2 linked regions of the Callithrix jacchus genome follow. The protein of the gene in region 1 purifies or fractionates together with the protein of each later gene. This does not show direct contact. Links are inferred from orthologs where the notes say so. Each region holds a gene or a part of one and is shown on either strand. Other genes may lie near its edges.

What was found.
Region 2: the proteins of TNKS2 (region 1) and RNF146 purify together in Homo sapiens (co-immunoprecipitation; 3 studies listed by BioGRID and IntAct, with this or other methods). This does not show direct contact. The link is inferred for Callithrix jacchus from reciprocal best matches to the Homo sapiens genes TNKS2 and RNF146.

What each region holds. Positions count from the first base shown.
Region 1 is NC_133513.1:84,573,629-84,577,543, reverse strand, and holds the start of TNKS2 (poly [ADP-ribose] polymerase tankyrase-2), read right to left. Parts: upstream 2,401-3,915; 5' UTR 2,093-2,400; coding exon 1,894-2,092; intron 1-1,893. UniProt on the Homo sapiens protein: Poly-ADP-ribosyltransferase involved in various processes such as Wnt signaling pathway, telomere length and vesicle trafficking.
Region 2 is NC_133505.1:133,838,984-133,842,898, forward strand, and holds the start of RNF146 (E3 ubiquitin-protein ligase RNF146), read left to right. Parts: upstream 1-1,118; 5' UTR 1,119-1,350; intron 1,351-3,915. UniProt on the Homo sapiens protein: E3 ubiquitin-protein ligase that specifically binds poly-ADP-ribosylated (PARsylated) proteins and mediates their ubiquitination and subsequent degradation. May regulate many important biological processes, such as cell survival and DNA damage response.

The sequences.
Region 1 (3,915 bases):
TCTTATATGCCTGGATTTAAGTACAGGACTTTACAAGTTCTGGTTGAATGAAGATTCCCCGCCCCCCACCCCTGTTAATTTTTATTATTCCCCTTTCATACCTGTAACTATTAATCTTATAACCTACACCTGATAATTTGGGTAAGTTGTGAGGGGTGGGTGGTTTCCAAAATATTAAGTCTTCCATTTCAACTTGAACAAACAAAATGAAATCTATGTAAAAAAATGCTCTGAAATGTTGGAACAGAACTGAGGGTAGGAAGTTAGAGAAGGAACAAGGTCACTGAGCTAATACCCATAACCTTACACCTCTAAATATTACTATTTTCAGATATGAACTCATTAATATACCAAATTCTTGAAAGGTAGCAACTAAGATCTTTCTTGGCTATTTTTATCCCACAGATCAAATGAACAGACTTTAAGTAACCCTACCCTTTGGCTTATGTATCAGTTGGTGGTGATAGTTTGCCAAATCAGTTGTTTAAATGTTGACTAACTACATGGTCAAACAGGACAATCTGAATTGGCTGAAGAACAGCAGCACTTACCATCAAGATTTTGGGTAAAATTTCGGCTAACTAGGTGTGATTTGACTTAAGTATTCTTCCTTCTCTTTCTATTGCCCAGAAACTGTTTCTAGTTCTCCGACTAGGTTCCCTAGACTTTCTTTTCTTAAAAAGACTCCCCAGTAGAAATTCCAATAAAGATGCAATTGATCAAAAAAGCATACCTCCTGGTAGTGTTTACATTTAAAACCCGGAACAGGGTAAACCGAACAAAACTCCAATTGGTAGAAAGTGTAAAAGTAATGTTTGTGAAAGAGGAAATCTTCCTCACTGCTCCTTTTCTCTTCATCAATCTAGCCCCAAAAGAACAGAAACACTTTAAAAGGTATTCCCTGCTTTTTCAAAAAAATTGTTTTTAACAATCATGAAATACACAAAACAAAAAACCAGGATGGTCGGAGGTAAGAGGAGGTACTCCGATTTTCAATCACACATGGCTCACCTGAAGTTAGAAACTGTCATGATCTTTTCTACAAGTGAAAAATATGTATGCTTTATGGGAATAAGCTGACTATCCCATCTCTGGTTCTTTTAAATTCTTCGACTAAATTTAATATGCTTACATCATAAAGTGAACCTAATAAATATTAAAAGAAAGTAATTCAAACGATCTAATTCTCAAAATGAAGCAAGGTTAGTTTCAGCTTATATTCTAGATCCAAGCTAAAGTACTTGCACCATCTTTTCTACTATACTACTACTTTCCACCTCAACTTGTGTGTGTGTGTCAAAGACTTCCCGCACCCAGCCTAGTCAGATTTCAGTTCTCCCAAACTTGCCTATTTCCAGTTGTAGTCACTCCAGAAACTTGCTGATTGGCTATTCTGATAAATCAATTAACGCTAATGTGTCAATGGCCTATTAAACTACTCCTCCGAAATTACATCCTTGCATTTTACAAAGTCCTTCAAGACCTTAATCCAAATGGAACTTGCCAGAATGAAAAATTTTGGAGGTAACTGATCGTTTAAATCATAGGTCTATTTACTAAAGTCCCCTACTCTTTCTTGTGTGTAGACGCCTTCTAGGGTAACAAGACCGGAAGTTGGTACAGGTATTGTAGCAACAAAACAAAGCCAAAACCCCAAACCACCCTCCACCCTCGGCAAAAACAAAATAAAACAAACCAAAAACTTCCAGTGAGTGTGGCACGCTCACCCAACCCCCCAATCTCCCCAGTCCCCACTGGAAGAGAGGGAGATCACCAGGACCACAGTCCTTAGGGGACAGGTCGAGGAGTGGAGGAGCACTGGTTTCAGGCCTACGAGCCCCGGATGCGCAGGTGGGGTCTAGAGCGAGGCGAGGGGGCGCTGGCCCGGGTTACCTGCGGCGAAGTGCAGTGGGGTGGATTTCCTGCCCGCCGTGTCGCGGCTGTTCACCTTCTCCGGCGTCACCAGCCTCTTGACTCGCTCCACATCCCCATTGCGGCACGCCTCGAATAGCTCTCGGGCAGCCGGCTCCATTGCCTCGGCCGCCGCACTCGCGCAGGCCGCTCCCCCGCCCGCGCAGCGGCGGCCCGACATGATCCTGGCCGCCGCCGCCGCCAGCAGCAGCGCCAGCAAGGGCAGTAGGAGCCCCGGCCCCACGAGCAGGAGGGCGAGGCCCCCCGGAGGAGAGGCGCTCAGGGCCCGGGCCGGTTGGCTCCCTGCTGTCACCGGATCCGGCGCAGTCCCATGGCCGCGCCGACGCGCGCCCTTAGCTCGGCTCCCTTCCCCCAGCTGCCCTGCAGCTGCGGAGGCAGCGCGAATCCGCCGGCCGAGCCCTGAAGCGACGCGGCCGCGGAAGGTGGCAAGGTCCCTCCTGCCAGCTCCGCCGAGCCCTGGGAGAGCACGTGACGTTGTCCCGCGCGTGCGCAGTAACCGGGAATCGGCCGTGCAGGTTTCCGCGAGCTGGGCTGCGCGGAAGGGTTTGTGGGAAATATGTAGTGACGGGCTTCGCAGAAGGGGCTTCGTCCCATCGCCATCTTTGCGGTGGGTTCTGCTGAAGCTGAACGGTCCTGCATATTGTTTATTTTTTTAAGCCCTGGGCTTTTCAAGCTGAACTTCCTCACTACCATTATACTGAAAAAGAGCCCTTGAAAGTTTTGCTCCATCTTGCATATTCTTTTGGAAGTAAATTGTACGTATTTTCAGCTTCTACATCCATTTTTTTTTCTTTACTGTGTCTCTTTTCTTTCCTCCTCAACTGCTTTGTTGTTGTTGTTTCTTGTGAAACATTTCTCAAAAGTGAACGAGTTGCCATTTAATTAGAAGTTTGGATGAATTGCCCCCAAAATAAAGGAAATCAGAACATATATGAAAGTTGACTCCAGTTGGGGGGATGGCTCTGATCAATTACTCTTTCCTTAGTAAGTTATTAGCTCAGGTTTGATTAGAGGAACTTTATGTAAATCAGTATTGTACCCGACAAGCCTGAAGTTTGGATACACTGGGCATATGCATCTCCAAGAAAGTTTTCTGAGTTGTAATTTTTTTCTTTGGCCAACAAATCAAAGAAAAGCACGTAATTGATTTTCATGATTAAGGTAGTGGGGTAGTTTTATACGCTGATTCCCCATTACACTCCCTTGTCTTAAAAAACGGAAACTATGCATATACATACATTTTACTTACAGAAGATGATACAGGTTGACCTTTGGCATTCTGAAAAACATACCGCCCCCCCCCCCCCCCCGCCTTAACCTGTTTTTCAGGAAATCCAGTTTTTGTTGGGGAGTGTTGACTCACTACAGTGCTAAAAGAGGATGTACACTTTTTTGAGCATTTTTATAAATATGGAATTGAAGTTATGGTAGATATCAATAAAGTGAATATGCACGAACGCACCTAAGGACTAGAACACTACCAATATGATTGCATTTATCATTTTTCTTTCCATAAATCTGCTATGGTGATCTATGATCAGTGATCTTTGAAAACACTATTGCAATTGTTCTGGGGCACCCCAAACCACACCCATAGAAGACAGCAATCAATCAGTCAATGTTGTGTGTGCTCTGACTGCCCCACCGACAGGCTATTCTGCCATCTCCCTCTCCTTTGGTCTTCTGTTCCCTGAAACACAACAATATTGAAATTAGGTCAGGTAATAACTCTACAATGGCTTCTAGGTATTCAAGTGAAAGGGAAAGTTGCATATCTCTCACTTTAAATCAAAAGCTAGAAATTATTCAGCTTAGTGCAGAAGGCATGTTGAAAGCTGAGATAGGCCCCCTTGCACCAAACAGCCAAGTTGTGAATGCAAAGGAAAAAATTTTTTAAAGAAAATTAAAAGTGCTATTCCAGTGAACACACAAAGGATAAGAAAGTGAAACAGCCTTACTGCCGATATGAAGAACGTTTGAGTG
Region 2 (3,915 bases), on another chromosome or scaffold:
CTGAGTGGCTAATAAGAAGATGAAGATAGAAAACTAAGCTTAAAGGACATACACTTCAATATTTCTATATGTACAGAACTTGTAAGAAAAGCAGTTTTGCATACATGAGCAAGCATCACTGAACTAGATGGCACCTTTCAAGAGACTGGTTTACATATTGAGATATGAGAATGAGAACCCTGAAATAAACTGATTCAGAGGAATAACAGAAAACATATAAATTTCTATACATATAAGGTCGCTGAAAACTTCCCATCCTGAATGAAACATTTAATGAAATCCCAAAACGCAACACTATTGCAAATAAGACACTGTCATAAAATTTTGAAATACATACGCTTTTAAAGATAAAAGGCCTGCTCTTCCACCCTCTTCATTTTCCTACAAATTAGGAAAATTTAATCAGTTCTGAAAAAGGAAATGTACATGCGAAAATGGTGAATACTGCTAGAGTTCTGATGTTTTAAACCACAGGCTTGCGATCAAAATAACCTCTTTAATTTTAGATTCTCATGCAGATTAATTTCTTTCTCCAGTTTTTCAAGCACTATTCTGTTTTTTTTTTTTAAAAAAAGGAGGGGTTCAAAGGGAAAGTAATATCCATGCTTTTCCCGATTAAATTGCTCAACCATTAAAAAGGTGAATAAATTAGAAAGCCCTAGAATACTCTACCCCCTCGGTCCGCCCCCCACCACCCTTTTTTATTTCTTGAAAGGGAAAAGCAGTTCTTTTGCCAGGGGATCTTCAAGCCGAAACTCGGCTAGGCACCCCAGGGCTTCTCCCGGATCGCAAAACTGGATTTCTGCGCAGCACCACCTGCAGTTCCTACACGCGTTTTACTTCCTCCACCCCAAATCTGCTTGCTGGAGCTGCATTCTTTCAGAGCCTCTGGCCCCTAATACAAACAAAGTACACTCTAAAGCAGCCAGAAGGATCCAAGCAGCGAAGTCGCGGATCCCCACAGGCAGGAGAGTGCAGGCAGGCAGCGGCGCGAAACCGGGACGGAACGAAGAGACGCCGGAGCGAGCCCGCGGGTGCGCGGCGCGGCTTCCGCCCCGCGCGGCCCCGCCCCCGCGACGCGCCGGGTGGTCACGTGAGGGCCGCGCGCGTCCCCGGCCGCTGCGGGCTCAGAGGCCGGAGAGAAAAAGACTGCGAGGTGTCCGCTGCTGTGGCCAGAGAGGTGGCAGTCGGAGCGAGGCCCTGTCGGGGGAGCAGGGAGAACTCCGGCCACTCCAGGACCCTCACTGGGGGAGAGGAAGCATAGCTCGCGGTGTCACCTTCAGCCGCGACGTACTCCGGGTCGGCCTTGCGCTCGGGGCCTGAGAGGGGCGGCGGCGGGGTCAGGGGCCGGTACGTAGATGGACGCCCTTGGGCTGGCGCGGCCGCGGCTGCCCGCGCAGAGGCGGGATGGGACAGCTCAGCCTTTTCCGCCACCCCAGCCTTGGCTGCGGTCGCAGGCTAGACGGCCGTGACAGCCCCTGTGCTGCCCGAGGGCGCCGCAGACCCTGCCCTGGGTGACGGCCTGAGCTGGTCTCGGTCGGGGTGCGAGGGGCGGAGCAGCGGCCATTACTGCGCAGCCTCTTCCGCCGGAGCCCGCGTCGGTGCCTCGGGTAGCAGGCGGGTCCCTCTCCTCCCCCTGGGCCGTGGTGTCAGGCCTCTACGCGGGGACCTTCTGGCCTCGAGGTGTAGGGGCGGCGATGGTTTTTTGGCAGTAGCCTGCTCCCTGTTTCCCGTGTGGGGTCAGACACTTTGGGCCTTGGGTCAGATCGAAGCCAGGGCGTACAGTCTGCATTTTGTCTTTTCCCGGAGTGTCTCTGGCTGCTGCTTTCTCTGCTCTTTCTCTTCCTCCTTTTTCTCCTCCTGCTCAGTGTCTCGGTCTTGCCTAATACGAAGAGAGCATTCCTGCACCTTGTCCTAGTGAAGCCCCGCATTGCATATTCTTAGCTGTTTTGACGGCTGTTAAAGCATCGGAACAATTAAGAGGTCTCAGAATGTCCCTTGAGCCTCCAGACCCTCTGTACATCTTAAAAGCCGAGGCTGTTGCTTTGTTCTGGTTGTTGGGTGGGGAGTTCTCTTCCTACCCTCCATCCAGTCTGAAGGAGTGCGGGTCTTCCATTGTTGTCGCTATTTATTTTTCAAAGGCTTCTAAAGAATGTAAAATTATTTTTAAGAATGTGGAGAGGGAACCGTCCTCTCCACAGGACTGTAAGTTTACACACACATCCTGGCAACAAGAATCTTTTCTCGTTCATCATTTTGGTATACGTTTTAATTTAAGTGCCGTTTTAGTGAGCACTTATTTCTCAAGTTTTGAACATTTTAAGTGATATTTTTGTAATATTGAAACAATGTACAACTGAGGAGAGAAGAAAGCCAAAAGATGATGGGGAACGCTTTGTTCTTTGTATGATTGACATTTCAGGTGCTGGGCACATCACCCCCACCCCGTGTGTGTACTTTTCAAATGGGATGTGAACGTATAATATTGGCATTCAATGCAGTATATAATTATAAATCTGGAAGACTTAGGACATTTTAGTCAGTGAATCTATATTTAGACTTTTAAGACATGGCACGTAAGGACACATGAAGAAAATATCCCACACAAATAACAGGATTTGTGATTGTGCCTTTGCTGTTTTATGACTAGCAAATACTGTTTTTGTGGACTGTCTTGGTGCCCTAAAAACACATGAAAATAGGTCAAGTAAATCTCATTTTAAAGAGAAAACTGGAAGAGTGAATGCCACTCTAAAAATAGATTTTGGATGTGTTTGTTTTGGTGCCTTGTATATTTTAAAGTGGAGGATGTTGTTCAGCCCAATCTTTCATTTACAATTTGTGTCTCAAATGGGCCAGTGTATGCTGTGGGCAGAATGGAAATACATTTAGTTTTTCTTTTCTTCGATGGTTGTTCAGAACTTGGTAGAATTATAATCATCAGGAAAACTTTGTCCAAATAGCTGGTCTTTAGACAAGAGGAAGAAAAAACAATTAACTGTTTTGTAAAGGCGATGTCCACTTGCAAAGTGTTTTGTTTCAGTCTCCACCAACTTACATTGTCAGAAGAAAGGAACAGACATTTTTTTTTAAAAGGATCCAAAACGATATTTTGAGTTAGAAGAAAAGGATATTAAATTTTCTGTTTTCACAATATCTATCTGTTTAAAGAATATTATTTTATGTGCTAGCCATATACTAGCATGAAACGTCTAACAGCACTGTCAGTTGGGAATTCGAATGTGTATTTTTCTTCGGTGTTAGTAATAAAAGGTACTGAGCCTTTTCCATTCTCTTACCTGGTTCCCTTGTGCCTGAGGAGTCTCAATTTGTGAAAACAACAGGCTGGATCGGGAACAATCTTTTTGGGTATAGAAACCAATTTATTTAACACTTGGCTACAACCACCTGTGCTTACTTATGAACTATCTTTAGTTTTCATGGCTTATTACCTTTTGGGTTAATTTAAATCCAAAATGGTTGTTAACTGACTGCTAATTAAAGCATTTAGAACGTAAAATATAAAGTAGGACGAGATAACAAAACACTGGGGGTTATGACTTGACCAAAGTCACACAGATAATTTGCCAAAGAGCCTTTCTTATTTATGAAATGGTTGCTGGCTAAGAAACATCTGTGTTTGATATTATTAAAAGATTTGTTCACTTTTATATCTCATGTTTTGAAATAAAATGCAAAGCCCACTTTTTTGTTGTTGTTTTGAGAAAAATTGAAGGGTTTAAAGCGCTAGTATAAAGATTGTGAGGTCAATAAGTAGATTGCCACATAGTAACGTTTTTAAAGGGAAATATTCTTTAAAGTATCAGACCCCATTTAGTTGCAGTGAGTTTTGTTGAAGTTTTCGAGTATGACCTATGCTTTTTCTTAGCTCATTTTTAGCAGGTGATGATGAGG